Linked DNA regions of Oreochromis niloticus. The protein of the gene in region 1 purifies or fractionates together with the protein of each later gene. This does not show direct contact. Links are inferred from orthologs where the notes say so. Each region holds a gene or a part of one and is shown on either strand. Other genes may lie near its edges.

Region 1 (11,208 bases):
GATAAAAACTGATAGTTTTGTCTGACCAACTGTCTAAAGCTCAGCTCTTTTCCAAGTACTTGTAATCCAATAACTAACGACTTATAGCAAATCTGAGTAACTGTTGACTTTGCTGCCACAGGCAACCAAAAATAAAGATCTACTTTTAAAATTAAACATAAATTAGTAAGTTTGTATTGGATGACACTCCAGGCCACTGAACATTAAACAAAACTTAAGCCACACGTGTGGATAAGACGTTTCAATTTAAAGAACTTCTGAGTAAACATGGTCTTGTTTTTTGTGAATGTCACAAGCTCATTCTCAGTTACGGCACTTTCAACTGCTCCTTTATTCACAAGGGGTCGCCACAGTGGGCAGCTCCAAATGTTTGATTTGGCAGTTTTTACACCAGACGCCCTTCCTGATACAACCCCAAAGGGATCCGTCTTTCCTCCTAGGATCAAACTAGGGGATCTCTCTCTTGTCTGGCAAATATGTAAACCACTACACTGTGGAGCTACGAGGCACAGTTTCAGTAAAAAATATCAATATTTAATACAGAGCCTACATATTTTAGCAAACCTGTCAGCTGCACTAACACAAGACAGCAGTGACAACCTGCACAGGTCTTTTAATTCATTTTTTCAACCAGAACATCAATGAAGTACTTAAACACTGCTGAATATCATATAAACAGCAGCTCTCACATTTACAGCGAGCTTCCTCCATAATTTGTGCTTCTGCTCCAAATGAGACAGAGCTGCATCTACTTTGAGTCACAGAGGAAGTGAAATTAACTTTTTCCCCCCTTACACAGAAAATGACAGATGCTCTACAGAAAAACAAGCCTTCCTTTTCCTTATGAGCCTTTTCGAAGCTTAAATCCAAACTGACCATAAACATGGTACAAAGATTTCCGCCTGCCTATCTTACTATAACACCCCACCCCCCACTCTTCACTGATCTAATTTAGACAAACCATTAGATCGTGTGCAGTGTACTCACACTTTCTGAGTAGGGTTTCCTACTAATGCACTGTAGAGCCTACTAATGCTATGCGTGTCCCTGGTAACCACAGTGGAGCATAGACAGCTGGGCTTAAAGCTAAGCACGAGGATGATGGCTTGGCCCAGCGATGAGTCAGAGACTAAGAGCACCGAACAGGGAGTACACTGACGCCCACACCTGAAAATCACCCGGATTAAGGTACTACGCCGGACAGGAGAAAGAGGAGATACATTAAGAAAAGCTTAGTGACCATTCACAATGTAGAAATATCCACACATCAGTGTAGAGATGTGCAGAAGCTATAAGACGAGCTGATTTAGATGATTTTAAATGCAACACAGGATGTCTTGCTGACCATGTTTACCATTATGAATTAATGCATTTTCCAAATGGGAGCACAGCCCATCTTATACTTCAAAATTACTACACTTCTTCCCAGTTTCACTCAGTGTCCTCCAGGCTTTTGTCTTTTCACTCATCTCTGCATATTCATCATGCTGTGTGACTCCACCACAATTTCGAGACAACAACAACCCAATTCTGAATTCTGTCACTGAATAGGCCACTCACTGCTGCATTTCACACCTCTAAGAACAGACAGTTGACCGTCTGCTTTACATCTTTCCTGTGTTTGAAGAAATCCCCACCACTGTACAAGAGTATTGCTGAAGCACGACTAAACAGGAGACAGCAGACACACAGAATGGGCTACAAGTCATTACTGTAACTAATTTAGAAGACTTAAAAACTGCAATTAAGGCCATCACAATATTAAAGCTTTGTGTTTATTTTGGTCATAAAGAAAAGAATGATATTAAGCGTGTATAGAAATTTTGAAAAAGACAGCAATTATGCCAAAGTATTAGGTTATTTGGGTGCTCTCTCCAATATTATGTTGTCTTTACCTTATAATGTTAAGTATCTTAAGGTGACATAGCTCAAACACAACTAAATAGAACTGCCAAGAGTCTAACTTATTTCTAATCCATTCAGATTTACAGTTACTTCAACATAATCACCATTATGCATTCACTATTCACACCTGCACCATGACCAGTTCGCATTATATTAATATTATCATTAATAATTCAATATTAATAAGATTCAGCATTGCCTTTGAAAAGGGCAACAAAGCTTTACAAACATCCCAAAAAGAGAAATTCTAGAGCAGTGTTCACAGATCATATTTATATTTATCACAAAAATCTCATTGTTACGTCTGCATCTATGAATGTGTAAACAAAGGCTTTGATAGAAAATCTCAATTCACACTCCACAACCTAAACACTTGCTGTAGCAAGGTACAGACAGCAGGTACAATAAGCAATCACTAATGTATAATAAAAAACGCTGATTACTCATTATTTCATTTCATTTCATTATGTGCAACAATGATCCAAACACACCCCTGTAGGATAGACAGGCTGTATTGTCCCCAATAATCCTGGACCCTCACAGCTTCTTGCATCCATTTAACAATTTCTGCAGGAGCACATTTCCTGCTTAAATAACACATCTAGTGCTTCCTAATGCCACCACCTTTCTTCTGTTGCTTGCGGGGGAAATGTTTGGTCATTTAGAAAGTCAAAAAAATAAATAAATAATAATAAACCATGTCAATGCTGTTGCATGAAGACTGGTTTTTTCTGTTGCAAGATGCTTCGTTTATGAAAAGGCGCGTTTCCCACACACACACAAAAAAAAGAACACAATGTCTCCAGTGGGGGGGAAAAAATATGACCTAAACATATTTTGCAGCTTTGTGACAATAACACTGCATATTGGACTGCTGACCGCACAGGTGCATGATTTGACTTCCCACTGCATGCCTTTATTGCATCAAAATACGTGCCTTTGTTATCATATAGGAGACTATAATGGAGCTGGCCTGCAGATCTGATCGATAAGAGCGCCATCCATCCCTGCTGTGCTCTCACGGGCGCATGGCTGCTGCCCAAGGAGAGGCGCGCAAACCAATGACCACCTCACATTAAAAAAAACACAAAATCACCACATCTGCCGAGTAAACATGTGTTTTGTTGGCATTCATTTTGTCTTCCCAACCCATCGCTGTCATCTTGGACGGGCGGGGAGGGGGGTGTAAGAGACGAGCTTGCCTGCTCCTGATGGCGATGGTGCAGGCAGATTTATATGATTTAACTGAGAGGGGGATTTGGCAAAAACACGTTATATCCCGCCGTATTTCGACGCAAACGCGCGGTCCCCTTGAAGAAATCGGGTCGTAAACGCGTGAAACGCCGAATAAACACAGCGAGAACCAAACAACGTAAACACAGCACGACGCGGAAGGAAGGAGGAAGGAAGGTCCCAGTTAAATCCCCACTCACACAATGCCAGCCCCGACACGACGAGTAGAGCGTGCCTGACATAAATATAACCCTCGGACACGGCGGGAGACTGGATAAAAACAACCCCCTCCGGTACTAACAGGAAAAAGAGCCCCCCTGGTTCGATGTAAATAACGTACTACGAGTACGTACACAAACACGGGCTTGGGCCTCGGCTTGTTTTCCCGTCACAGCGAGGCCTCGCTGCAGCCGCGGCCCCCAGTGAAGCGACGCATTTGCGCACACGCGCCCCACACACGGCTCGCGCTCCCAGCTCCTCGCTCCGCTCTCGCTTTCTTAAAAATCCTTACCGGGTCCGAGCGCTTCCATGGCCGAGGCCTCTCTCTCCGTCTCTGTCCCGGCCTGGCGGCTCCGTACCGACGCTGAAATTGGGGGCGGTATCTCGAAGCTTGAAAGTGGCTAAATTTAAGAAACGGGAGTATAGATAGACGCGTGGACGACTGCTGACTGGGCTGACCTGAACTGAGCTACCGCTGCCGCTGCTGCTCGTTCTGAGGATTTGGATATGCGCATGCGTCGGTTACAAGTGGCGAAAATCCACCGTAGGATACCGCGGAGATGCAAGCAGTTGCTTTTGCTGGTTATACTCTAAATTTCTTTGTTTGTGATTGAAAATTAAATACAGGCTAAACAATATAGCCTCAATAAGTATAATAACATTTTTTACACTGTACAAATTACCCTTGTATTCATTCATTTTTCTATTATATCTCCAATTCATTTTCTCATTCATTCGACGCGTGAACGTCTCCAGTGTGGGATTTTAAAAGTCCATTTCTGTCTGTAACCACAGTATATACCAAATATTTGTTACACCAAATAACAAATATCAAAGTTTCTTAATGCTTAATTAATTGTGCTGTGATACATCAAACCATTTAAAACAAATCTTGTATAAGTTTTTTTGTTTTGTTTTTTCAAACTGAGAAGCTTTTTGAAGTGATACTTTCCAAGCAAGCCACACATGCCCTGTTTTATTTTACCTGAATAAAGCAGAATAAAAGGCAGTAGCTTTTCGTCCGTTTGTGTTTTTGTAATTTACTTGGATTATATAATAAGAAATCTTTTACCTACCTACTTTTTTGAGGGGGGGTTAAGACCCCCAAACATGTTACTGTTCTAGTTTAAGATTTCAATTTGAATGTTTTTCCTTTGAAGATTTAGTTGGGACTTGTAGAAACATGGTCACAAAATAAAGATAAAGAGAAACTCAAGGCAAGATATAAAATCTGAGCATACGTACCTCTTCTAAATCCAAACCGGTCTTCATACCTCCTCCCTTTTCCGTTGCCTTGCTTTGGTAGCACATAACGCTCCAGGAACCGCCTTAAAATATAACCGTATTTTTTCTGCAACAACTCCCAGTTCATGGTTTCTGCTGCCATGACGCTGTAATTAGTTGATACGCTCAATAACAGCCCCACACGATTCTCGCTACGTGGTACCAGCTCCTTGCCCTTAGTCATTACTATTGTTGCTACTCCACCTCCTCCAGTAGGATACCTCCACACTGAAAAAAAAACCCCTGCGCCCTGCACCCCTGCTTCATATATACCTTTTTTCACCTGGACACGCATGCGCAGTTGGCTTAAATAGTCACATCTGAAAGTTCTAAAAAACTTGGTTTCAATAAAACTGAAACAATATTATAATGATAAAATGCTGTTAAAAATGATGTAAATTGGAAATAAAAACCTAATGGCCAAGTATGTGCATTCAAGGAGTAGGACTCCAGTTTGGTTCTTGCTCTGTGTGCAATGGTTCAGAGTGCAAGATGTTGACATAAATTCACTTACTGGTAAGTACATTTGGAGTGGAACATTGTGTTAGTGTCAGTTGCTGATTGATGATTACGAATTATCTGTTTAGCTATATAGTAGAGCTGAAAAAACTGATTAAAAAATCAATGTCGCTTGTTGATTAACCTGGAGTATCAGCCTTTGGGTGGGGATGTGAGTGGGGGGGGGTCAGTTTCGGGGTTAGAGAAGAAACTCGTCACAGTTATTGTTCGGTCTAACAAATGAAACCGTGGGACACTGCTAAAAATCCGAATGTTTCATTTAACCGTGTGATAGACACCACTGACAAAACTGTATTAAGCAGCACAAACCTGGAAAAAATACTAATTAAGAGAAGTCAGGGTTATGCTATTAATTTTGAGAAACAGACAACTCATAGATATGTAATTTGCATCATTAATTGGATTAATTAGTATCAACAAAGCGCTGGCTTTAAGACTTGATTGAGGAATACTGGGTTTGTAAGTAGAATTGCACAGAAAAATCTGTGTAGATGGACAGAAATGTGGAGAAATGTAATGGTTTTGAAATGTCAGGGTAGAAGTTCTGTAAAGAACAAATAAGCGATAAATGATTGAATAAAGGATATCACTCCATTATGCAATGCCATTTTCCTTGCAACGGGACAATAGAATAGCTGTAAAACGGTGCATTTCCAATAACTGTGCTTTATGATTAATTAGCATGTCAATAAGTGTTAAAGTTGTTATGATATTTGGAATTTTTTTCCTTTCTGTTTCTTCTCCAGCAACAATCCCCACTCGCCGGAGAGGTCCCGGGGTTTAAACAAACGCTTTTGCAATGCAGCGTAGTTAAATTAGGCGGGACATCTGCGCCAAACAGACCAATAGGAAATCGAGAACACTGCGATTGACGTTCCGGTGGCGAAAAACTGCGGGCCAGCTGTCGCGGCGCGCGAAACATCAAAATTTCTATTCGGTGTGTATGGAACAGGCGGGAGGAAGATAACTTTTCCGGCTAAACGCTAACTAAATGTCAATTAAAACACAGAAGCAGCGCTGGTCGCTTTGACGGTAACTTGTCCACGTTTTTTGTGGGTGACACGAGACTACGAGGTGCCGTCTGAGCCGGTTTATTTTGCAAAAAAAGAACGTAAACTAGCCAGCGGACAAAGATGAGCTTGGTGCTTTCTCAACAACAGGTCAGGCAATGCTTTGGTTTGTCAGTGATTATCTTGAACCTCTGCCTAACTTTTCTAGACTTGCATATATCACTCTGTTTCATCGGGTAGGTTTTTTTGGTGGAGATTGGCAAGATCGAAAGAAATATGCTAACTGCACATTTTGTTAGCCACCTAGCTTCCTGGCTAGGTTAGGTTTAGCTCAGCTCTTTTGGAAAGTGGTAACTGGCTTGGGCCTTTTAAAGCGTGTCAATTTGACATTTTAATTTTAAATCCTTTTATTAAAGTAAGACCTAGGGGACTCACGGACAGCCTTATCTGTTGCCTGAATGGTGATAATTAGAAACGTTGAAAGGCAGACATGCTGCTCATTGTTTGGTTTACTTCAAGGCGCCAGTCCTGTCAACGAACAACAGTTTCGCTGCCCAAAGTGACAAAAGTGACACCCATCCTCTGTGTTAACACCCTCTCCTCTGTGTTTTTGTCAAATGCAGAAACATGCTATACTGTGGTACTTTGTTTTAATGAGCTATGCAGCAATTTGGGTTGCCTTCCATTCGAAATGAATTCCTAGTGTTACTAGATTTAACAAAAGCAGTCTCACACAACATGAATCTCAATCAAGTAACCTAAACTGAACTTCTACCCCTGCCCCAGATGAACTGTTTTTCAGTTGATACTTAACCTCAAGTTTTTTTCCACTAAGTACCTTTTACTCGCCCCATGCAGCAACAATTCATGTGTATTATGTGCTACTGTATGCAGGGTGAGGGACTTCCAGTTGTGGCCCAGACTGCAACAGAGAGTGATTCAGACAGCGGTGTGGGCTCACCAGCAGAGGAGATGGCTACAGACACCTCTAACAAAAGAGAAGGTCGTCCAGGTAAAGCAGCATAACAATGAGCCACTCTGGCTGTGTAAATGAGGTATGCATTTATGCAACTGCCTGTGACACCAGAGTAGGCAGAGAAACACTAGTTACCATAACGAGCCAGTCTGACCAAAGATTCAAAGCTGCAGTTCTTGAGAAAATATACATTCAAAGGTTATAAATGAAAAGCAAACCAGTATCTAAAAGATGTCCAGTTTCCAAAGGACCACATTTGTTTGAAAAACAATAAAGGCAAAGAGTAACATATCAGTCCAAGGGAAATTCTGTAGGAAATAGTATAAATACTTTAATAATGAAGTATTTCAGTCTCCCTGGACTTATATTTGTTTTGTCTGAGGTTTCTTCAGAAGGGTTTATATCAAGGTTTTCTGCATATATTGTCCTGCATATAAGAACTCTTGGTGCTCACTGAAGATGTTTTTTTCCCTTCTACCAAAGAAATTTCATCAGGGCTGTGACATAGAGCAAAAAAACTTTTCTAAGATTCAAGTTGTCGATTTCTAAAGGTAACTTGAAAACGAATTAAACTGTTTATGTAGTAAAAACTCCATCATTTTGCCTCCAAACCACTCCCTGAGGACATATGTCCTCTTTGACTTCTGCTTTTTCTCCTGCCTGGAAGCTCCATTTTCTCCCTTTTTTATTTTTTGACCAATATGTCCAGTATCCCACTTCACATGTCCAAACCACATTAAGTTTGCTTAATGTGTTTAATTTATTTATTTATTGGTAAAACAAATATATGCATTAGAATAAAATTCTACTTGAATTTATTTTTCTCACTGTTTAGTGCAAACTCTAGTATTTTGTTTCATTACACATTGATATGAGCTGGGATTACCACTCTACCATTTCCATTCTACTCTACTTCATTCTAACTTTCTAAATTGGTTGGTTTTTCTGTCTTATTTATCAGATTCTGATGACGATGAAGACATCATGGTGCACAGAAAGCCTCACCGTAATGCCATTAGAGACAGTGACAGCGAGGAAGAGGCGGCAGCTGCAGATAGCAGTGTACACATGGCAGAAGCACTAGTTTTATCTGCTTCCAGCGGAGAGGAAATGGAGACTGAAAAGGTAGACGAGAAGGACAAGAAGAAGGAAAAGGGACGGCAGAAATGCAAGAGAATAAGCCGAGCTCCTGTTGATAGCGAGGACAGTGAGCCTGAGGAGGAGAAGAGTGGAAAAATGGAGGAGGAAGAGGGGAAAGTGGTGAAGAGGCAAGTGAAATCTGCAAAAGAAGTGAAGGAAAGAGAGAAGAGCAAGAGACATCGTGAGAAAAAGGAAAAGCGCTGCAAAGCGGTGGAAAAGCTGAAGAAGAAGGAGAGGTTCTCTGAAAGGGATGAGGTGAGTGCTTTAGTGTCTGAACTCTTTTTGGCTGGATACATCAAGGGTTCTTCTCATAACATCTTTTTTTAAAACACACATGGGCACTAATACGTCCTGTGGACTGTCTCAGCCTGGCCTGTTACATATTATAAAAAATAATAAAATCAATAAAAGTTAGAATTATGTTTTTGAAGCACAAAGTGAATGATTGTCAGCAAAGTGCACTACGCTTCACGTAGGTGAAGGAAGATTTTATGTCAAGTATGTTACATGTTAAAAGCTTATATACTATTTAAGTAGATTTTCTTTTTTAAATGTAATCTTGTGGCCTTTCTATTACTTTATTTAAGTCAGTGTGACCAGAAAAAAGACAAAGATGGCTCACTCACAAATCCTCAAATAATTGTGTTAAATGTGTTGTCAAAATTAGTTTTTCAAACATTATTTTATCTCAAAATTGGAAACCTTTGTTTTTGTTTTGTTTTTTTAAATGTCCCAGTCAGATGATGCTTTTCAGTGCATGTCCAACTGCAAGGTCAAGTAAACAGATCTGCTTCTGGAAGAACTTTGTTGTTAGGAAGAAAGAAAAAAAAAGACACTTCCTACCACATCAGTGTAATGATCAAACTACTGTTGTGGAAGCATTTGTGTTTTGGTTCCCCGAGCACTACAACAAGGACTAAACTACAGATCAAACTGAACAAAGTTTTTAAATTTAGATCTTGTGTGTTGTGCTAAATGTTGAAGCCATAAAAAACAAGATACAATTTGGATAATGTGTATGCAACTAAAAGCAGCTTTACTCCCATTTCCTCAGGAAATGCCTCATCCTGGGACCCTGAATGACAGTGGATGTCCGCTGGGAGACACAGAACTTTTTGACAATGGTCTGGATGATGAGGAAGAAGAGTCTCTGGATGCGATCCGTGCTGCGGTCAAGCAAAAGATGAAAAAACATAAGGTGGAAAAACATCAAGTAGTTTAAAAGAGGGGCTCTCCACCCATTTTCCATCACTATAAAAGATAAACATTTGGAATTGGTAACATTTATGTTTGGCCTTTGACTTATTTCCTTAAGAAAAATTAAAACAGCTGTTGTATTTATGTCAGTGACTTGAGTTAAATTTAAATCCTTCAATTTTATTGTAACACTTTGGTTTAATGTTGTGGTGAGAAGAGTTGGACCATGTTGGACATTGTGTCCTTTTGTTTCTATGTTGCTACAGGATCCCCTCTCAAATGAGGAGGAGGATGAAGAGGTGCCAGAGAAGCCCCAGCGTGCGGTATGCACCATCAAAAAAATAAATAAATAATTACTTTAAATTGTAAGCAGTTTGTCATTGCCACTATGTGACTCTTTCAGGAGAGAAAGGCTGCACGTGCCAGCAAAGAGGCGATGAAGCAGCTCCACAGTGAGTCTCAGAGGCTGGTCAGAGGTCAGTTGATAAGACACGTTTATTTACCCTATAAAGTTTTATTGTGGGCAATAATTTGAATAGAGCATGGCATTTTAGTATTCTTTCCATACCTGCAAACACTCCTGGTTTTTTGTTTTTTTTTCCCCGTACTTTAAAATCTTCTCATGGTGCCCACCCATCTTGCTGTTTCTCCTGTGTATTTACACTGCACTTTATTATAAATAACTGAAGTAGATGCATCTTTAAGGTTTTAGTTTATGCTTTCACAAGTTGCCAGATCATTTATGAAGCCTGCTCTTGCAATCCAATATTCCAAATCAAAACCTCGTTCGAAGGGTGTGTATCCAGCTAGTTTCATTTAAAGAAAATGAAATGAATTTCACCATCTGATGTTGGAAAATTTCTCACTTATTCAAGCCCCTAAAATCAATAACAAGTGAAAATGTTGTAAATATTCTCTGTGGAGAATATTGCATAGATGTTGACAGGTGTAATTTAATGACTTATCTGCTACTTAAACTGCATTCTTCTGCCTTTTTAGAGTCTTCACTTGGCCTGCCCTACCACATCCCTGAGCCCAAGACCATCGACCAGTTCTTTAAGAAGAGAGCAAGGCCAGAGGGTTCTGCCATGGCATTGTTGAAGTAAATACTAACATGACACTTAACACATTTGAGGTCAGACACGAGTCATGTAAGGATAGCCGCTGGACCTCCCCATTTCACACAAGTGCAAATTTAAGTAACTGTACTTTAATTCTGTTAAAGTAAAATGTTTTCATTTAAAAATCTTTCTGCTTTCAGATCTGCAAAGTACTCAGAAATGATGTTGGAGACGCCGTCAGCTCCTCCACCTTCTGTAAACCCACCCAGCAAACTGCCATCCACTGAGGAGGACTGTAATTCTTCTCTGGATATCTCGTCCAATCAAATCCAGCCTTTACTTCAGCCAGCAGCTACCTCATCCCCGCAAAAGCAGAACCTCAACCAGGCCGGAGAAACTTCGGTTACCTCGGATCCTGAGCAGGAGTCAGGCCCAATGCTTTACCTCTCTGAGAGTCTGCAGGACTCAGTCACAGCTGATGCTGAAGACAAGCCTGCATCTGACTCAGGAGAGGAAACCTCAGCTGCTCCTTTACCACAAAATCCAACTGCAGCAACATCTGACTCTGAAACCCTGCAGAAAGAGCCTGTATCTAGGGCTGTGGTTGAGCCTGTGGTTCCTCAGTGTCTGAGTGCTGATTCAGCTACAGCAGAGCCCTCAGTAC
Region 2 (11,047 bases), on another chromosome or scaffold:
ACCAGGGAAGGGCTGACCCCTGGAGCCACAGAATCAGTGCTTAAGGTCCTAGGTCCACTAGAATATTGAGGACCACTGAGAGAAGGTGGATGTTTTGATGTAGCTGATGAGGATCCACCTTTACTCTGTCCTGCATGTTCATCAATGTTCCATTCTGTGTTTTGGCGGATCTGTGTCTGGCCCCATCCTGTGTTAGACAGGACCCGAGGATCCAGATCAGAGCGATTTAGCAGGCTCTGTAAGGCAGCTTCTGCATTAACTGCCTGCCGACGTGGTCGGCTGCTATTAGGCGTGCCCCCACTTCTAGAATTTCCACCACTGGACGACGATCCACCCCGTCCTCCCTGTCCTCCTACAACCTCACCCCATTCTCCCGTTTCACCCTCTCCTTTCTGATTGTCCCAGGCTCTGGTAGTAGTAGTGGCTGTTGAGGAAGAGGAGGAAGCAGTGGGCGGGTTCCCCGCTGTGCTGCCTCCACTGCTGCTGCTGTTACTGCTGCAGGCTCCACTCATTCCCTCACCTCCTGGATTCGGTCCACCAACCCCACCAGAGTTCCCACCCCACTCACTACCAGAAATCCCTCTTTCACCACCATCTCCCGATAACCCCCACCCTCCCTGAGATACCCCAGAGGTTTGACTCATGTTGCCCCCATTTCCAGCACTACCCCAAACATTAACCCCACTTGTGGAACTTTGATAACCCCAACCTGAAGTCCCATTATCCCCTTCTGCAGCTCCAAATACCCCTGTGCAAGTTCCTCCACTCTCCCAACCATCAGTCCTTGAGGCACCCGTTTTGGAGTTAGCTGCAGGGTAAGAAGGCTGGCCTCTCCATGAGGAGACAAGGCTGTGCTCTTCACTCATCCCACTTCCTCCCGCACCATGGTCCATTCCTCCCCCTATCCCTTCTCCCCCCGCAATTTTTGGTCCCGCTGATTTACTGTCCCAATTCCCTCCACCCATTTCTCTGTCTCTGGATTGCATTTGGTGAAGTTGGTGCTGATGGGTGTTTGATTGATTCACAGATAAAGATGGGTGACCCCCCAGGACACCAGCTGCCCCCAGGGAAGCAGAGTTGTTGGCAGACCCGCCAGGGCCCTGATGGTGAAAGGAAGACTGACCTCCTTCACCTACAGCAGCGGGGCCATCCTGCTGCACCAGTGCAGGCCAGGCTGAAGGGTTGGCATTTGGATTGAAGTTGGCACCTGGAATCCCACTGCTGCCATCAACGGAGCCACTGGCATCATGGCTCCCTGGCACAGCGGGGGCTTTGGAAAGTGAGGAGGACTGTTGTAGCAGAGGCCCAGCTGCAGTTACTGCAATACCTCCTCCAAGATGACCCTGGGAGGCAGCCGTCACCCACGCTGAACTGCTGGACGACTGCATACATTCATTGGGCAAAGAGAACGAGGAAGTGGGTGAGGATTGGTTGCCAGAGGCACTAATGCTATTCACAGGCATTCCGTTGTTGCCGCTGCTCCCTCCATCACTGCCAGCAATACTAGGCCACTCCTCTAGGTCATTGCCATCAACAATCACCTTCTCCCTGCCCTGAGAGGAGGCCTGGCTGCCTGAGCTTGCCCCCCACATGGAATTTGCATAATTAGAAGTAGTAGTAGAAGCAGCAACTGATGATGAGGTGAGAGCCAATGAGGAGGCAGCTGTGCCGGAATCTATAAAAGCAAATCCCACAAAAGAGCAACTTTAGACTCTTCATCAGTCAAAAAAATATTAAATAATGCAGTAAATGACCTGTGCTTTGATAGAGCTTTTTAACGTTTGCGGATCAGACAGTGCTTTACAACAGCTGTTTCCACACATGCAGAGACACACCAGGTGGAGCTTCAAATGTTTACATTTGCTCCAAATGTTTGAGTCAGTCACATCAGACAGGAAACTATTCTGAGAATTCACAGTGAGGAAGCAGACATCTTCTCTGCTCTGTTCACACATGGCCAAGGTAGCACCCTTGACTAATAATATAAACAATATTGGTTTAATCAGCCATCTCCTGTTTTCTGCCATGTGAGAAAACCATCTAGATTATCCATTAACTTGATTTTCCTGACATTTCCCAGAATTAATGTGTGACAATAGCCTCTATTTCACAAACACATCACAGGTTGCAGGTCTTCAATGCTTGCCTGCCATCATGAGTAACTCCTTTTCAAAGGACTCTTTAGCAAGTAGACAGGAGACTCCAGACACCAAAACACCACCCTGTGATTAGTTGATAAACCCACTTTAATACTTATGAACAACAGCATCGTTAACACTTACCTGAAACAGCAGCCATGTTTGCATTGGGGCCATCTCCTCCCACCCCCCCTCCCAGCAGCATGGAGGACAGTGGCGGCTGACCCCTCTTCAGTAGCACTTTATGGTCCTGCTGGCAGCGGAATCGTGGCGGCACTTCTCTCGGCATGTAGCGCGGTGGCTGCTGAGGCGCCTGAGTTCCGCCTCCGCTACTTGCACTGCTGTTTCCAGCAACACTGGAGCCACCAGCGGTGGAGGAAGAACTGGTGGTGGAGGTGGGCTGTCCGTTGGCCACTGCCAGGCGCTTGGCATTGTTGCCGCCCTGTGACGGGGTGGCAGCACTGCCAGGGCCTGAGGTGGCTGGGGATGGGGAGGCAGAGGGGGTGGGTCCAGGGCTGGGGAGGCAGAGCTGCTCTGAGTAGCAGAAGACTGGGCAGAAGCTGGCTTGGTCAAGTCTGGCACTGCAAGAAGGGTAGGGAGGGGAGAGAAAGATTTGTTTAAACAGGTGCATTTTAAGAACGCAAAATGTATTTACTTCAAATGTAACCTCTAATCAAGTATTTGGCAGAAATGGATAGCAAACTGGACTATAAAACAAAGAAATCGATGGATGTGCTCTTTTTTAAAAATTAAAAAAAATGCATCAAGTGTTGTCCAACACATTACAAAGAGAAATAATAATGTCACTGTGATACCATCACAATCCTTTTAGACAAGAAAAACATTTAAAACTAAAGTGTCTAAAGATTAGCTCTGGAAAAAGGAGCAAACAACAAATATTTATATCAAACTCCATAAAAATACATCACTGTGCTGCTTACCTTTGTTTTTTTGCTCTGCAACCTAAAATGAAGAGAAGCAGAAAGTCATGTTAAAATTTAGTTTTTTTGTTTTTGGCTTTCTTCCTTTTTCCTTTCTTCCAGGCAAAGAAAGGAAACTGGTGTTTTTTTAATATTATGAAAGTCTTTCACTTTTCACATAATCTGTCAACATTTAGTTGACACAAAATTAATGTAACATCTAGGGACCTAAGGACAAGAGATTTAATTGTAACAAGTTCAACAGCTGCAGTGTTAACTGCAACTATAGCTCCAGGAAGCCCAAATTACCCAAGACCATGAATCAGGTATCTCGTCAAACAAAGTTAGATTGTATATATACTGAAAAAGCTGAAATGGCATAATGTAAGATCATTCCAAACTCAATCCAAACTAAATGCTGTTGTTGAATGTTGTTGAAACCACTGCCTTAATATGACAGTTCAAATGTGTCCACCTGAGATAAGAGAAAGCACTGAAGTCACTTTAATAGAACCATACAGATATCCATGCAGAACTGCCATTTTAAATGATATGAGTGAATGTGCATAAATTTTACTGCCAGCATACTGTGTCAAGATACAAACGTTCATTTTAATTTGAGTATATCTGCCCTAGAGGACATGGAATCTGGTAAGACAAACACACTCACCTTCTGAGAGGCTTCCCTTTTCCTTTTTTCGTCCTTTTTCCTTTTCTTGTCTTCCATGAACTACTGCTCCTGTCCTGATGCTCCTCTCTTCTGTAAAAAAATAGCGGGCTATTCAAAATTGTAATTACCTATCAACTATTTTAGAACAAGCAACAGTTTGTTTCTATATATTCTAGCTTTTTCCTGTAAACCAAATTTATTCCTCAAGGGAAAAAAGGAAAACATTTAATTCTGATTGCATATCAGACACAATCTCTGTCACTACACTTCCACTGGACAACTGGATAAACTGACCTTTAGGTTCTGTAGGTCCAATCAGTTTAGCTTGATTGACTGGACCTACATATCCAGAAACCCATACCAGATAAACTGAAAGTCTGAAATCTAGATTTGTTTTTCAGACAGAGTGCTGGCAGTTACAAATCCAGGATCATACTCTTTACTGGCTTTAAGTAAAAAATAAATAACTAAAAAATAAAATAAAATGAATTAAGAGATTTCAGCTACAGCAAAGAATGCATTGTCATTAGGATTCCCCATAGCACCTCTATGATCCCTAGGATGTCGGGGACAAACTAAACATTTTATTATTAGATTTTTCAGTTTGAAGATGGAACAGCTGAGCTATTCTACAATTTTTTAACGAAACGAACGGTTTATACTGTTTATTTAATAGGGTGATAGAAATGTCATTCATTTCTATTAGAGCGGAACCAGGGAAGCGCCCGCGAATGCGCAAAATGTAAATCATGTATGTATTACAATATGGCAATAACCGCAATATTAGCATGTCTGGCTTCATGTTAGCACATTAAAACACAAGTCGTCAGTTTTCTCCTTTTCTCCTCGTTTAAAGCAAAACCCAAGCAATCTGGTATGCTTCGGCTGCCTCGGTCTTGTGTTGGTTTCGTTTTTGCTTCGTGTCGTTAACACTTCCATAAAGCAGGATTACTACATTTGGGAAAAGCGACCTGACATTGTCCCTGAGGCATTTATGATCTCAGGCCTGAAGTATCAGAAAGCCAGACATCATCACGATGTTATTTCGATGTGTCAGATCTGCAGTATAGTAAACCCTATCCAGCAGCTCTACCAGCTTATGCTGACATACCTGTCAACGTTATTCCAAGCTCACCAGCATTAGGCAGCAAACGCCACAGCACAAAAAGGTCTGAGCTTTGAGCTTAAATGGAAAGGCGTGTTCAAAAACTGAAGACACGGGTGAATAAATCCGCTTTAGCTGAAATAGTCAGACACATTCATCCTTGCCCCTTCAGGTTTACACAAGCTGCAAGTTCAACAGCTGCTGCTAATAAAATATTTCGTCGAGGCTAACGTTAAGGAGGGGTTCAGCCTAAAATACGTGGACACGAAGCATAGCAGGCATTAACGAGTTCAAACCAACCTAAGTTCAGTAACTGCTCTATCAAGTGAACACAGCGGTCTTGCACAGCAAACACATAAGAGGGCCAAATACCCAGCTCAGCTAACGCAGTGCCAAAAATACGGCTAAAACGGCGCTAATGCTACCGAACATTAGCCAGATAAGCTAAGGTAGCATTACCCAGTGACAGCAGCAACTACAAGTAGCCAGGTTAATGGCGCTAGCTTGGTTTGCAAGCGCCGTGGCATGGCATTTCAGTAAGATGCAGCCCGCTCGCATGCATTCAAACAACGACACAGTGCAAAGCCGAGAAATGTAAAAAATTCACCCACTTACCTCGGGAATCACATATGAAGATACGCTAGCGTGCTAGCTAGCTTAGCTAAAGTGCTTCAGTGCGAATTTTTTTCTAGCTTTTTGAGGCATTCGTCGAGGCTACAAGAACAGCGACGCCTGAGCGGAGAATCAAGTAAAATGGCAGAAAATGAAAATATACGCGTAATAACGTACTGGTTCGTGAGCACTACCGTTATAATAGTGTAAACCCTAATGTGCAGAAGAATTTAAATTCAAAGCGCTGTGGAGTCAGTCGGGTGACGGGCGGCCATTTTGCTGCTCAGCATGAAGCGTCTCCAATGACCAGCCTGTAGCAGCTGCGTGGAAGCCCTCTGACTGGCTGGCTTCTGCCTGAAGAGATGCATAAAACACGCTATTTGACCTCCATAAACTTCTGACAGTCAAACTTAACATTCAACTTATTGCTTATTTCGTAAGGGCTGCTTTCAACTTTCTCTTCGTAGCATGAGTCAGAGAAAAAGGGGAACGAGGAAAAGGAAAAACGAGGATGCCTCCGCAGGAGAAAAGGAGGGCGAGGACACTGAGGAAAGAGGAGACAGGAGGAAGAACCGCGCAACAAAGAAGTACATTGGAGCTCATGTTGGCATTCAAGGTAGGGCCTAATGTCGTCTTCTTTGACACCATTTGAGATAAGCACGCTTACTCACACTTCTGTGACGTCACGTCCATAGGTGGGATATGGAAAGCCGTGGAGTCCTGTATGGAGATGGGTGGCAGCAGTTTCGCCCTGTTCCTGGGGTCCCAGCGATCGTGGAAGAGGCCTGCATTGGACCATACAGCTGCAGCAAAGTTTCAGGAGCTGTGTTCCCAACAGGGGTTTGACCCAGCTCATATCTTGCCTCATGGCTCCTACCTGATGAACTGTGGATCTCCTAAAGAGGGTCCGTCAGACACTGATTATTGTCTTTCATGCCCAGTTATCGCTTATTATTCTTTTCAGAATTATTCTCTGTTTTGGTCTAACTTGCGTACCATATTTTCAACTAGATGTGTTTGAAAAGAGCCAGGCCCTGCTGGTGGACGAGCTCAGCCGCTGCAACCTGCTGGGTCTCAGCCTCTATAACTTCCACCCCGGCTCCTCCCTGGGTACCATCACCACTGAGCAGTGTGTGGACAAGATTGCGAGCGCCATCAATTATGCTCACCAGGAAACCCCATCAGTGGTTACAGGTACGGAGGGCCGCCAGAGTACCTGAAACAACCAGCAGTGTGTAGCTACCTTCCAGTCATTGCCTTTTTGATGAAACCCATATGCAGAGACATTGCCAGAGGTATTAATAAAACTCACAGACTCTATGTAAACGATGGACATAGGTTCCCAGTCTGAAAAGTGAAGCCAGTGCATTCTTTATAATAACCAACAGGGGGCAGCAACTCTGGTTGCAGAAATTGTGGTTTTATGAATAAGACAACTGAAAATTCCAAGTTCCCAGTTGCAAATTTTTTGTGAAATGCCCCTTCAGCTCTGATTTCCCACTTGGAAAATTGGAGCAGACCAACATGCCCCGAGTTAGCAATCCAAGATGGTGGCACTGAACATGAAAGCAATAAAACTATAAACGTTTAATCTGTACTGCCACTGTTGTGTATTTTTGACTCGTTAAATGAGCCATATGCAGAGCACTGATCAGGCTAAAGAAAAGTAAGTATTAGCCATTATTGTCAGTGATACTCGAATGGCTCCACCTGGCTAAGAACCAAAACAAATCCTGTTTTTCACGGCTTTTTCCAGAACATGCTAACTTGGGATTGACACACTCCAGAGATCCGATATCCGAGTACGCAGTTATCTGGAACGTGGCAAAAGTCTGTGGAAGAATGACTCTCTGACTCTGATCTCTGACCTCAGCAGACACTTTACCAATGAGTTTATAGCTGAAGTCTTATTTAAATACAGCATGAAACTCATATTATAGAAAATGCATATAAAGGAGCACAAAATGGGGGGCGCTGGAGCCTATCCCAGCTGTCATAGGGCGAGAGGCGGGGTACGCCCTGGACAGGTCGCCAGTCTGTCGCAGGGCTAACACACAGGGACAGAAATAATAAAGGATAAGCGGAAGCGAATGGATGGATGGATGGATGGATGGAGCACAAAATGGGGTAGACCTTAGTGTGGGCCTGTTTTGTGATTGGCAAGTAACTACCATATAAACTTGCTCATCTGGTTTTCAAAACAGAAAGAATCCAACAGCAGAAAAGCTCAGCCAGAGGTTTCATAACAAGACTTTACTAATTAATGACGCCATGCTGACTGTATCCATCTTTTATAAACCATATGTGATAAAGCACTTCTTTATTGTATTTGGTTCTAAATCCTGTGCTGTCCAGCAGAGGACTATAAATCATTACCTTAAAGGTCAGTAGCTGCTCTGGCATACTGTAAACCAATTGGCAGTGCATGTCAATCTTACTAAATGTCCTATCCTCCCCGTTTCTAAAAAATGAGTTTCTAAGCCAAAGTACAAAAGGGAGATAAACAATGTAGCAAAGAACCAGTTGTCAAAAACTCAGTGATTTATGCCTTAATACACAAAAAGTGCTCCATCAAACCTGTGTGGGTGGGCAGGGAAAGGCACATGCAAGTTTTTGTGTACACTCCATTTATACATCTGGTCTCTGGTGCATACATATTGCCGAAAGGCTTGACTAAACAGATATGCCTTTAGCAGACTTTTTAAAAGGAATCTACTGAATCTGCAAACCTTTAGAGTGGAGGCAGCACATTCCACACCAGCAAAGCCTAAAAAACGTGATCACCCAGAGGACTGTTTGTGGTGGCGCTTGTAGAGTAGAGGTAGTAGTCAGGTCAGGGTTTTTCTAACACAAGAATCCCTACACAAAATATAAGTTCATGTTGTTAAGCTTTCTATTACTGGACTAAATCCCTTTACATGTAGTTATTATATACGCTCAGTAAAACCTTTATTAGGAAATCCATGCTATTATGGGGATGGACCCACTTTTGCCTTTAAAACTGCCCTTAAGTTTTTGTAGCACAGTTTCATCAAGGTGCTGGAAACGTTATGGTCTATATTGACATGATAGCATCACACAGTTGCTGCAGATTTGTCAGAGTCACATGGGAATCTCTTGTTTTACCACATCCCAAAGGTGCTCTATTGGATTGAGATCTGGTGACTATGAATGCCATTTGAGTACAGTACCACCAATGGAAAAATCCAGACCTTACCATCCAAACTCATCAGACCAACCAATGTTTCTCCACTCTTCTGTTGTCCACTTTTGGTGAGCTGATGTTAACCGTAGCCTCAATTTACTATTCTTAGCTCAGAGGAGTGGGACCCATTCTGGTCTTCTGCTGCTGTAGCCAGAGATGCTCTTCTGCATATCTTGGTTGAAACAAGTGGTTATTTAAATTACCTTTGCATTTCTATCATCTCAGAGCAGTCTTACCATTTTCCTCTGACCTCTGGCATCAACAAGGAATTGACGCCCAATTGATAGCAGTCCAAAAAAGAGAAACTATCTGTAAACCATAGAAGCGGGAAAATCCCAGAAAATCAGCAGTTTCTAAAATAATCATCTGGCTCCCACCAACCATGCCACATTCCAGGTCACTTAAATCACTTTTTTTTTGTTTTGTTTTTTTTTTTATTCCCCCTTTCCGATGCTCAGTTTGAATTTCAACAGGCGGTCTTGGCCATGACAATGTGCTCAAATGCATTGAGTTGCTGCCATGTGATTGGTAACGTAACTATCTAATTAATCAATCAATTGAACACTCAAATCTAATGAAGTTCCTGTTGACTGGATTTTGATGCCTATCAAGAGAAATGATGTTTGCATGGCACGTCTGTTAAATAAAAAGCCATTTGATCTTTGCCTGACATTTTAATGTTAACAAAAGTTTGTTGATACAAATACCAGTGCAACTTTCAGTGGTTAGCACTGTCACTTCCCATCAAGAAAGTCTGGGGTTCGACCCTGCTGAGTGACTCTCCAGGTTTCTCCCACAGTACAAAGGTATGATTGTTATGTTAGCTGTTGTACGTTTGATAGGTTTAGATGTGAGCGTAGGTAGCACGTTGTGATGGACACAACCAAGAGTGTACCTCGGCCTTTACTTGCTGACACCTGGGATATACGCTACAGCAGAATACAACAGCAAAAGCCACGTTCAGACTCTGTTTGAAGAGGTAACGACAGAGAAATATTACAAATGTATGAGTGTGTCAAATTAAAAGCCTTTTTTTTTTTCCTCCTTTTTTTTTTCCTCCTTTTTTTTTTTTTTTTTTTCTTTCTGTCTCTCTCTCTGGGCTTTCTGCGTGGTCAGTGTTGGAGAACATGAGTGGCCAAGGCAGTACGGTGGGCGGCAAGTTTTGTGAGCTAAAGAGCATCATAGACAGAGTGAGAGACCAGACCAGGGTAGGAGTCTGTCTGGATACCTGCCATGCATTTGCAGCAGGTGAGTGAAACCTGATAGCAGCCTGTGGCGTTAACCTCAAATTTGCTTTCTGTCCAACAGGGCTGTGATACCTTAAAATATTCAACCTGGCATAAGACCTGAGGGAGTTTCTTTCTGTGCTCAATTGTTGTTTTATGTCTCATCTTGGGAGGATACGACCTCGCTGCAGAGGGAGGTGTGAAGGCCATGCTGGATGAGTTTGACCAAGAAGTGGGGCTCCAATACCTCAAGGCCATTCATCTTAATGACTCCAAAGGTATAGCCAGGGCATAGAGACAGAAAAATCACACATGCAAGTCTCTAGTTGTCTTTCCTTATTCTTTCTGTGTAACCTGAAGGTAAACTTGGCTGTAACCTGGATCGGCATGAAGATATCGGCAAAGGTCACATTGGAATCTCTGCATTTCGAGAAATTGTCAATGAGCCCAGACTGGACAACATCCCTCTGATCCTGGAGACACCCGGACGGTGAGATGGTTGTCTGTTGTATATGGTAATGTATTTATTAATTTCCAAAACAGGAGCTGCTAGCTCATCCTGTTTTCAGGTTCCTCTTTAACATGGCTGCTATGTTCTTCCCCACAGGCCTGGATTTGAATACACTGAGCAGATTGACCTTCTCTATTCCCTGTGTGAGAAAAAGTGAGAAAAGCACTACTGATGAGTCGGCACTGATAAACTGAACTCTGCAAACACACTGTTAGCCGTGAAGAGAAGTGTTGTTTTTGTTTTTTGTCTAGTACCAAAGTGGAGGAGTGACCTATTGTGATATCTCTAAACACGGTCATATTATTAGTCGTTCACCACATGAACAGTTTCTCCAAATTACAAACCTCATCTTTGAATACGAGTTTAATAAAGGTGATTTTGGAAGTTTTTATATGGCGTGGGGAGGAGTCTTGTTCCGAATGAGCCTTTAGGGGGCAGCAGAAACACACAAATGTAAACCAAACCTAATGAGACTTTGGTTTCAAAGGATGCAGGTAGAATAAGTGTGAGGAAATGGTTTGCACATTTGTATTGTTTTTTTTATCTTTAAGCAAAAAGAATTTAAAAAATTGCTGATAAGTGCAACAAACTCAATTAAATGGAGAAAACATAAATTATTGATCCAAAGGTAAATAAACATTTTTGCATTACATATTTCCA
Region 3 (11,072 bases), on another chromosome or scaffold:
ACCATCTACACAACATAAATCCACGTGAAGGACAAGAGGGTCATCCGACTGATAGTTTCTTTCTGTTTTGTTTGGTTTTTTTTAAGCTGCAACTCTCCACTAGAGGCCATCAAACATGATGCCAGCGACTGGAAAAAGCACAATTTCACCGACAGAAAAGTCCTGTAATAGTTGAATGAAACCCTCTGTGCTCCTATCTTCTAGAGGCCAGTTGATCAGCGGCAAACTGTAAGGAGTCAAAGGGCCCACTCACTGTCTGTGTGTATGTGTTTGTGTGATAATGTGCCTGAGTCCTTGTGCAAAGGCACAGAATTGTTGACAGTTTTTTGGAGCAGCTCACCGACCTCTCACCCCCAGATATCATCGGTGTTTCCCCCACAATGCTCCACTTATTCTTTTCTTTCTCGTACAAAGTTCACTTAACAGCAAACCGCTTATGAATGATGTGCTTTTTTCTTGATTACGTGATCACGCACAGTAGCTTAGAGCAGCTTGAGACTTTCTGCTACTTTAAACACAGTACCATAATGCTTGGGTTTTGTTGTTTTCCTTTACTCTGGAAGGGACTAACAGACTATGTGATTGATGAAATAAACAACATACATATTTATCTCTGCCAGACTTTTCAGATTAGATCCTGCACTATATTGTCAAAAATATCCACTCGTCAGCCTTTACAAACATATGACCTTGAGTGACATCACATTCTTAATCTATAGAGTTTATTATGTCGCCCAGCGGATGCAGATATAAGTTCCACAAGGTTTATGAGTGTTTATGGGAATTTTTGACCTTCTTCCAGAAGCACATTTGTGAGGTCAGACACTGATGTTGGATGAGAAACCCCGGGTCACAGTCTCCAGTCTAATTCATCCCAAAGGTGTTCTGTTGGGTTGAGGTCAGGACTCTGTGCAGGCCAGTCAAGTTCTTCCACACCAAACTTGCTCATTCATGTCTTTGTGGACTGGACTTTGTGCACTGGTGTGCAGTCATGTTGGAACAGGAAGGGACCATCCCCAAACTGTTTACACAAAGTTGGGACCATGAAATTGTCTAAAATGTCTTGGTATGCTGAAGCATTGGGAGTTCATTTCACTGAAACTAAGCAGCAAAACCCAACTCCTGAATAATAACCCCACACCGTAATCGTCCCTCCACCAAACCTTACACTTGGTGGAGTACCGTTCTCTGGGCAAACCCTGACTCGTCCATCATATTGCCAGATGGAGAAGTGCGATTCTTCAATTCAGAGAACACGTCTCCACTGCTCTACAGTCCAGTGGCAGCATGCTTTACATCATCCAATGCAAAGTATCCAATGCTTTGCATTGCCCTTGATGATGTAAGGCTTGGGTGCAGCTGCTCAACCATGGAAACCCATTCCATGAAGCTCTCTACACACTTTTCTTGAGCTAATCTGAAAGTCACATGAAGTGTGAGGGCACTATGCCTCAGCCGAGGCACATAGTGCCAAGCATCCGATGACCTCGCTACATGGCCTACCTGTCACAGTCTGCGCTGGCAGACCGTGTGGAAAGAGGAGGAGACACTTGGAGCAAAAATATAATTTAACAAAAGGCGAACCGTTTATTTTTGGCTGGGGAAAATGCACAAAACAAAAGGCACACTAAGGCAAAACTAACTAGAACTAAACTGGGAGAAACTAAATGCTAAACACATGAGACAAATAACATAAAACCTTGAACATGATAAAACCTGAACATGAAAAACCTGGAAACATGGAGGCATGGAAACATAACATGAACTCAACAGACAACCTGACAAAGAATAAATGAAAACTCACAGACTATATACAGACAGGAGGTGATCAGGGGAAGTGTAAACACACAGGGAAATAGCTGATACAAATCAAGATGACGCCACAGGGAAGCAAAACAAAACACAATGAACATGGAGCACAAGATTGTCAAAATAAAACAGGAAGCTCGAGGACTAAGACACACAGACTTGACATGGTGATAGTTAAGGAGAAGATGAGACGGGGAGCGAGGAAACACGAAAGAGAGGGAGCGAGAACAAAAGGGACACGATGGGAGACAAAGGGAGACAAAGACATCACTGAGACACAGAAAGGGCGAGGGAGACTTGACAGACTCGTGCACTGAAGACACGACACCCTAACCCACATAATGGGGAAGACACAGACATGGGAGGAACCTAGACAGACAAGAACTAAATAAGGAAACAGAACTCAATATCAGCAGAACTCACTGAAGCCTAAACTATACAAACAACACAAGAACATCATAATACAAAAAGGCATGAAACTCAAAATGCTGGGTCAAAAGACTCAGTCCAGGACACTACCACTTAAAATCCCTTCCACTTTGTTATAGAGCTCCTGAGAGCGACCCATTCATTCACTGATGTTTGCAGAAGCAGTCTGCATGCCTAGGTGCATGGGTTTATACACCTGTGGCCATGGAAGTGATTTGAACACCTGAATTCAATGATTTGGATGGATGAACAAATACTTTCGGCATTTAAGTTTATAAAACCTATACGTTTATGCATTGGGTGTTTGGGGAGGGGCCACAGGGCGAAAGGCAGGGTACACCCTTGGCAGGCTCCCAGTCTATTGCAGGGCTAATACAGAGAGAAGGCTCGCATTCACACCTACAGACAATTTAGTCATCAATTAACCAATTAACCTAACAAAGTTGAATGACTGTAAATATAAGAAATTACTTGTAGCCACCAGTGGTACGCCTCAGCCTTCTAGTAGACACACCTAAGGTTTCAATTCGAAGCTGCTACAGGGTGACAACAATAGCCCATCACCCATTTACAGCTGAGAGGTAAAAAAACACTTCTTTGTATGAGCAGCTTGCCTGTATCAGGAATATCCCACACTCTTACTCCGTGTTTGCCCCATCCAACCTTGAAAGATAGGAAACTTGCTTCCTCACGCCTTAAAAAACCCCATCTGTAGGTCAACATGATGTCCTTGTTGTTTTACTACTGTGCACAAAATATTTATAATCTGTGTACCATTTCAGATACATGCCATGTATTTATTAAATGAAAGTCACTTTTTTTAAAGTTAAAACTGACCATTTACCTCATTTTCAGTCACATATAGACGAGTTCAGTGACTATGTTCAAATTAAACATGGCACGTGTTTCAAATAATGAGGAATCCCTGTTTCCACAGGTCTTTTCTACTTGGAGGTTATATCTATAATATGATCCACAAAGGCACACAGCATGAAGCAAAGGAGTCAGTTTTGTCTGTATGTTTGACTAATTGTCTGAGTGCTGCAGTAATGATGTTTAATTCAAATATTATGTTAAATAAATGTTATGTTATCGGGCCACAAGTTGTACTGAAAGGAGGTGTTTTATGTTTCTTATGATGTTGTAAGCTGCTTCTGCTCGTGTTTGTGCTGTTGTTGACCCCTTGGTTCAGCCTCTGCTGCAGAGAACACAGAAGTTATACATTCAAAGTTGCAGTGATGCGTAAACAAACAATTTTTTTACATCTTTGATTATTTTTTGGTGCGTCTTCCTCTTTCTGCTGAACTCCGCTGACGTTCCCTTTCCTGCTTAAGCTGACACTTCAACCAATAAGCATTCTTCCTGCACAGTGTCATCGCTGTGGGTCTACACACTGTTAGTTTTTTGGATTCTGCGAAATCACTCTGCAAAGATGAAGACTTATCCAAAGTCTGTTTTAAAGGTAGGGTGGCTATAACAGCTTGGTTTCCCACATGTAAAGGATCTAAGATGGAAGTTATGGAGTTGCAAATGAGCACAATATAGCAGGGATACATTCAGAGCCTTAAAACAATATTAAAACTAAAATAAAACTCAACAAAGACCCTGAACATTTTGCTTGGCAATTCATTTAAAACAGCAAATACCAGGAAAATCCTCACACTGCAGACGTAATGAAGTATTACGAGAATTATAACATCACTGCTTTCCTTTCACGCTGACTGCAAAGAGTGAATGTTTCACTTTTTTGCTTCATCTTTGCTTCGCTTTGTTTCTAAAAACTATTTATTTGCATTTCTCTGCTCTGTTGATTAGTAAAGACTCGGGCTTAATTACGTGAAAGTGTAGGCTGGCAGCGGGTCCTCTGCTCAATAGGCACATGCGTGTAACGCCACAAACAAGTGTTTACAGCTGCCGCTGAACCAAAACAAGCCAATCTGCATACACCAACACACACACACACGGGTAGGCACAGCCTGGTCTTCATCCGGCAGTGCTGGCACGGCGCCCTGAGACGTCGGCACTCCTCACGGGCACAAAGGAGGGCAGGAAGCGCAGACGAAAGACAGAAAGAAACAAAGAAAAACAGCCAAAACAAAAAGAAAAGAAGCGCAGCAGACGGCGGGACGACGGAGAACTCAAGACTGCTGAGAAATAAATTTGAAAAAAAAAAAAGGCGCGTACCTCGGCTCTGATCCACGCCACGCTGGGAGAGGAGGAGCAGGATGTTGCTCTTGATTGCTACAGGGTCCACCTGTCTGTCTGTCTGGCTGTCCTTCTGCCTGCCTGGAGCGTTGTCTGTGTGTCTGCCTGGCATCAGCACCTCTCTGTCTGTCTCATGTCTCATTTTTTATGAGCCTTTATGCGCCGGTCACTTTCCTTTTTTCCTTACATCTTAGTCTGCCACCCACTTTTTTGCTGCATCTGTGTGAATACTTGTGCGTCTGTCTTTTTGTCTCTCTCACCATGCTGCTCTGTTTTTGTCTTTCTCACTGTCTGATGTGTCTCTCTGTGCATATGTCAGTGCGTCTGCTTTCTTCATGCACAGATGCAGTCTTACACCCCCATCTTTGCATCTTTATATTTAGCGGTTAAAAAGATCCACTGAAGTTTGAGGGTTAATAAATGCAAACACAGATGTTGCACACATGACAGCAGCCATCTTGGAGGTCATGCAGCAGCACACAACAAGCCAACAGAAGAGGACGTCTTCTGTTATGAAAGTATTTCAGATTATCGACTGTCCTCGGGTGTCCTTGCATCCCTCCATCAGAGGCTTGGACTCAAGCCAAGTCGGGCACCCCCTACCCACACCCACACCATCTCCACTGTTCAATCCCAGCATGCCTTGGCACAACACTGGGTGATTACTCTCACAGCGGTAAAACAGAAGAGATGGAAAGAAAGACAGAGAGCCTGGATCTCTGCCATGTCTTTCCTTGTAGTGAGCTAATGAAGCAAGAAATGCTTGGATAGACTTCAACCATCAACACACACACACACACACGCACATACGGTGAGCACAACAGCCCACGCCAGCATAGACATCAGGCATATTGAGCATGTCTTTCATATTTGTTCTAACAAGAAAACCCAACATGGCGGACAACCACCAACCTGTCCAAACAGCGACTTCGTTAGCACGTCTTTGTTCTCCGTGAAACTGTGTTTGGCTCCTGCTTTGATTCAAGTGCTTTTTTAAGGGTTGCAGGAAGTAAAGTTGGGGGAAAAAATGTATTTATTGTGTTCAGTGTGAGCATCTCTACCTGGTAATGTAGGCAAAGTAGACAGATGAGTGGAGGAGAAGCGAGTCTCTGGTCAGCTGGCTGAGATGTTGGCTGCTTTGAACTGGAGCGGAGAGACGGCAACATGCAACGGTGCAAAGACAAAGAGCTCAGAGGTGGTGTTACAGTGTCCTATTCCAGAGATAATGTCCACATTTCAGGTTTAATAGCAAATGATCATTCATCGTGACAGCCTTGATAAATGTTTTCAGAACTGAAGTCCTGAGTCACCCTTCAAATGAACAGTAGGTTTAGTGATTTATTGAAACATGCAAAAATCACATTTAAATATAGTATATAAGAAAAAAAAAAGCAGAGTTTGGTACGACCACCTTTATTCTTCAACACAGCCTGAGCTCTCTTAGTCAACCTTCTTCTAATTTTTTTAAGTAATCTTCAGGAATTTATGTTAAATAAATGAGTGAAAAATGAGCCATTGTCCAAAGCAAAACTTTCAGAAAGCTGGAGAACTATTGCTCAAGACTGCACTTAAAAAATAAGAAAGTCTAGCTCCTTAGAAACTAAATATAAGGAAATAAGAGGTGGCTCAAGAATTTTGCACAGTACTGCTCAAGTGCAGAGCAACTATTTGATTTTCAGATAACGTTACAAGCACTAGAACATTCGGACGGAGGTGCCAGGTTGCACACCAAAGAGAAAGACATCTGGAAAACATGTTACTCAAAAGCTTTACTTAACCAGGAGGAGTCGCTCTTGAGAAGACCGTCCTGGACGGAGACCAGCAGGGCAATTATTTTTTCCCTGCGTTTTAATAACTTGCTCATAACTTTTCATTTTCTGCATAAGTGCTGCAGATAATGCTCCACACAACCGTCAGCAATTAGCACAAATCTTTCTGACCTAAATGCACATTGGCCAACCTGCAGCTCAGGGGTGTCAAATATGCAGCCTGGGAGCCATAACATGCCCACCAATTTGTCTAACCCGACCCATGTGACCCATTGTAATGTGTGAAACATTTCTACAGGAGGGGAAATGTCCGAGCATTTCTAACTGAGACTAGTTGTTTGAATCATAAAGACATGAAATACCAGATGTTTAGTTACAAAAGATCTACATGTGAAATGTTTGTACCTTTCAAATGTGGTTTGATGGTCAATTAATTTAGATTTAAAAAAAAAAGTTGATTCAAAATGTACTTGAAAGTGCTCTTGAAATATATCCATCACCTGTTTTCTTACTCGATCACTGAACAAGAAATAATGATTTTATTTGTCTGGCAAATTTTTAAGGTAATAGGAGACAGGATTGGGTTTTTTTATTTTGCAGAAGTTGTTACGAGCCCCTTTAAACATTATTACTTGTACAAAATAGGTTGTATGTGGCCCAAGAACTAAAACAATGTTTTCCACCCCTGAGCTAGAGAAAACAAACAAGTCACCTTAGTACTCCTACAACTTAAGGAGTTGCAGAAATATGAGCCTTTAAATTTAATTTGCATTGAAAAGAGCCACCATGCTCCACTAGTTTCTAGTTTTGCAACAGTCTAAGCCCTGGATCTGACAGTGGTAGTGCTACACTGACTGATATGACAAAACAAGGACAGACCAACTTCCCCTCAAACTCTTAACTAAAAAAGGAAGAAAACAGAGTCTCCTGTACTGGCAGATAATTAAAGAGAAATATGGCTGCCTACATACAGCTGTTCTTAAGACTCCAATGTGACTCACTTTTAAACAGCTAAACAAACTCCAAGCAAAAATAACAGACCACCAAAGCTTTGTACAGATTCTTTACTTTGACAGATTCACTCAGTTAATTCACAGGGACTGTTTAAGCGGAGGATTTAAACCATAAATCAGCCTACCTGCCCCGTGCTCCAGCCTTTAGTCACCTGACCGCCTTTAGCGGCTGAAATAATGGATACTCAACATACTCAGCCCGCCAGAAGTAATAAAAGGAATAATAATAATAATATATTAAATAGACACGTTTGACTGTGATAGAAGAGAAAACTTTATTCAGAATATTTTAAAGTAAGGACGAGTAATATCAGTTTGGCTATTTTAGCATGCTAGCGTGCTCACAGTGATAGTAACAGCTTAGCCTGTTGTGTTAGCAGCCAAGGCCGCAGGGTGGAAACGTTAACTAGTTAGGACAGAGCATATTAGAGAACTGGGGATACAATGCAGATAGTTAAACAAATAAACAAATTAAAATAAGATACGCTATACAAATATTTAAATTAGCCTAAGTCTTGTCTGATAAACACCACTTAAATATAAAGGTTGGTAGATCAATTCAAATATAGATACAGAAGCGCAGTATGTACTGAATTGTGTTGATTGGCATGTCTGTTTTATTTTTTTTTATAGCCTATGCACATTTAAACAACAGAAATTGACCCAAAGTGCACAATTACACTCCAGGTCTCCGACAAATCTATTTTCAAAATACACGAAAAGCTGAAAAGTGTGTTTTGTTGTATTATTAATAGTATTGTCTTATTTATTCTTGTGGAAAGTATAAATCATAATCATTTCATGGTCATTAAAATGTGTTCAGAAGTGATGATTATTCATCATCTCATAAATCATGACACACTGCTCTTCCCTTCATAAGCTGCCTTTATGGGTTAAAAGAAACAATAACAATATTGGCATCAGCAATATCGGCCTTATATTTAATTGGTATACGATCAATGCCAAAACGTTAAATATTGCACAGCACCATCACCGTATAGGTCTGTAAAAACATTAAGCATTATTTTTCAGGATCATGATCTTCTATTTTGTCCTTCTGCTCCACTATGTTTTAGACGCAAATATTGTACTTTGTACTCTGTATTTTTTTCATAGCTTCATTTATTTATTTTGCTCTAGCTTGATAGTGTAGTGTTTTACACCAAGACTATTGTAGTTTAGTGAATATAAACTAAAGTCTGAAACGAAAAAAAAACTCTTTAGATAACTAAAATAAAAATAGAAACTAGACTTTTCAAAAATATTAAAACTAACTGAAATTGTTTTATTAACTTGGAAAACAATCTGAAATAAAAAAAAAATACAGAGGAAATGTTAGTTTTAGTATTTGTTTGGTAAACGTTATTACAACCTGCATGATGAGGCTTTGATGGATGTGCTGAGATTTTGGATTGTTACAAGACTAAACTATTTTCAAAAAGTTTTTATTCTAACGATTGTGCTCATTTTCCCAAATCTTGTCTCTCACATATGCTCTTCATGTAATATTATTCTAAAAAACAAAACAAAAACTAAAGCAAACACTGAAACTAATAAAACTAAAAAAAAATTCAAATGATCAAGAGTAAACTGAATTATGAAAATTCATTCTGAATAAAATTAGACTGAATAAAACACAAAAACTCAAATTGAAATCTCAATCCCTGAAAGAGACAAAATTCCTTTGGGTTGTTTCAGGAAGTGCATTCAGGGTTCAGCCAAATCAGGATGTCAATGCATAACTCTGAAAAGTGACATCCCACATAATGTTTACTGTATCTACTTTAAATATATTTTACATCGAGTATACAACCCTTGTGCTATTCAGCTATTTAAGCAGGATTATAAAATTGAGGAATTGGCCTGCAGGATTTTCAGAACAGTACATAAATAGCTGCTGTTTATTATATATTGGTGGTAGCTGGATCTATTGTAATAGAATTTATCTGCAAAAATAATCAGACTTTAAGGTAAAGATGCAACAGAAAGTCAAATCCAAAGTGCAGTGAAGTAGATGTACTGTATATTAAACCTGCAGTTACCACTTGTCCTCACTTGTAGAATCAGCAGACATCCAGACAGAAACACAAGATTTTAGATTTTTTTAAATTATTATTTATTTCCCTCAAAACAGGAAAAACTAAACTTGCCTCTACTAAATCATTCATCTATCCAGTAGTTTTTAGATTAAACATAAAAAAAATTAATAAATAAACAAAATACAACACAGAGGTTAAATCCTAAATATTCACAGAAGGCTGTGCATTTTAAATGATTACAATCTTTTTCTCAGTAATCCAAACGCACCCCTGTGCGAGGCAAGGCAAATTATCGACTGACTATTCAAAATGTAAGATTTCCATCCATAGCAGATTCATGTGAATCGTAACTGCTGGCAGTCCTGAGCAAGTTGTAAACAAGTGCAAAAATCCTTCAAGTCAAAATAATTCAAGAGCGTTAAGCTTCGCCCTGTGATTTCAGTCACATTCATTTCTTTTTTTTGAATTTTGTATAAAGTGCCGTTTCTTCACAATTTTATACGAGGATTGCGAATGCTATAAATGAATTATGAAGATCTTAACGTGATACAAAACGTATCCTGGAGCAAAAATTAAACAAAAGTAACAACAAAAAACAAAATCCAGGCACCTGTTGGTCAGAGAAAAAACATCATTCAAGTAAATTTAACTTTATTTTTAGAGTCGAGGTGACACATCCGAGTGGGGATCAGTGGTTTTCCTTTCGTTTCCACCTGTCGGCCCCCTCTCCTCCGCTCTCCTCTTCTGCGCCCTCTCTGCTGTTCTTGGACTTCTTGTGTGTGTGTTTCTTCAGCTCTCTGTCCTGCGGCTGCTCCAGGGTCGCCTGCCTTTTCTCTTTTTTCTGCCTTTTTTGTTTCCTCTCCTTCTCTGTCCTCTTGTCGTCTTTGCTGTTCCCCTGGCTCGCTGACGAGCCGACGCTGCTGCTTCGGCTGCTGAGCATCTCCCCTTCCTCCAGATCCCTCCCTCCCCCGAACCAGCCTTCTTCTCCATCCACTTTATAATCAGCCTCATGCTCCCACCAGGCACCTCCACCCTGCACAGCCATCATGCCTCGATTTTCTCTCCCCTCTATGCCTTCTTTGACTAATTTCTCAGCCTTGTTTGGTTTCCACTCTTCTTTTCCAGCTTTGCTCTGCATTAACCCCAAATGAGGGGATTCTCTTTGAGAGTATCCAGGAGATTCAAAGGGGAGCAGGTCTCTGCCTTTACCCCGGCTGTGGGAGTGGTGTGTCCCTGGAGCTCTGTCTTTATTTCGATCACTCCCTGATGAATCTTGGTGGTTACTGTGGTAGTGGCTGTAGTCTTTATCTTTGTATCTGAGATTCAGTGATGGCTCTCTGTGTGTTTTCTGTGCATCTTCATCAGGCAGGACGGGTTCTCTGCTTATCGTGCTGCTTTCCCTGTTTCTGGCACTGGTGAATTTCCCGCTGGGACAGGATGAACTCTTGTTGCTACCCTGGCTGCCCCCGTATTGCAGATCTGTCCTATCTGCATCGTGTGATGTTGAGAAGGAGTAAAACTGAGAGGAGGTGGGGAGATAGGCAGTGCGTTTTCGCTCTTTGTCCCCGTCTCTCCCGCTTCCTTCCTCTCTTGTTTGTTCTTTTGACCTTTTCCTCTCTTGTTGCCTCTCCCTCTCTCTGTTCCTCTGCCTGTCCATCTCTCTCCTCGTCTCCTTGCCTGCATTTGCAGATGTGGTGCTTACAGCTCTGTCTTTGCCACTAGAGGGAGCCACACTTCTGTGTGACCAGGAGCAAGGAGAATCTCTCGCTTTCTCCCTGCGCCTCTCTCCCCGCTGTTCCTCGTCACCC

Evidence for each region. The genes of interacting proteins can lie anywhere in the genome.
Region 2: the proteins of ago4 (region 1) and tnrc6ba purify together in Homo sapiens (co-immunoprecipitation; 3 studies listed by BioGRID and IntAct, with this or other methods). This does not show direct contact. The link is inferred for Oreochromis niloticus from reciprocal best matches to the Homo sapiens genes AGO4 and TNRC6B.
Region 3: the proteins of ago4 (region 1) and trinucleotide repeat-containing gene 6A protein purify together in Homo sapiens (co-immunoprecipitation; 4 studies listed by BioGRID and IntAct, with this or other methods). This does not show direct contact. The link is inferred for Oreochromis niloticus from reciprocal best matches to the Homo sapiens genes AGO4 and TNRC6A.

The regions. Positions count from the first base shown.
Region 1 is NC_031985.2:14,060,990-14,072,197, reverse strand, and holds the start of ago4 (protein argonaute-4), read right to left. Parts: upstream 4,872-11,208; 5' UTR 4,826-4,871; coding exon 4,603-4,825; intron 3,852-4,602; exon of another isoform or gene 3,669-3,851; coding exon of another isoform or gene 3,650-3,668; intron 1-3,649. Other genes in the region: clspn (claspin), read left to right, coding at 6,294-6,320, 7,065-7,182, 8,108-8,541, 9,341-9,484, 9,750-9,806, 9,887-9,959, 10,483-10,585, 10,745-11,208.
Region 2 is NC_031973.2:22,677,231-22,688,277, reverse strand, and holds the start of tnrc6ba (trinucleotide repeat-containing gene 6B protein), read right to left. Parts: upstream 5,587-11,047; 5' UTR 5,449-5,586; intron 4,908-5,448; exon of another isoform or gene 4,840-4,907; intron 3,819-4,839; 5' UTR 3,729-3,818; intron 3,102-3,728; 5' UTR 3,080-3,101; intron 2,720-3,079; 5' UTR 2,428-2,719; coding exon 2,283-2,427; intron 1,676-2,282; coding exon 1-1,675. Other genes in the region: uncharacterized protein si:ch211-141o9.10, read left to right, coding at 5,914-6,061, 6,141-6,350, 6,457-6,639, 9,767-9,898, 10,050-10,154, 10,237-10,366, 10,484-10,544.
Region 3 is NC_031969.2:12,147,387-12,158,458, forward strand, and holds the start of trinucleotide repeat-containing gene 6A protein, read right to left. Parts: upstream 5,587-11,072; 5' UTR 5,505-5,586; intron 1-5,504. Other genes in the region: E3 ubiquitin-protein ligase RBBP6, read right to left, coding at 9,953-11,072.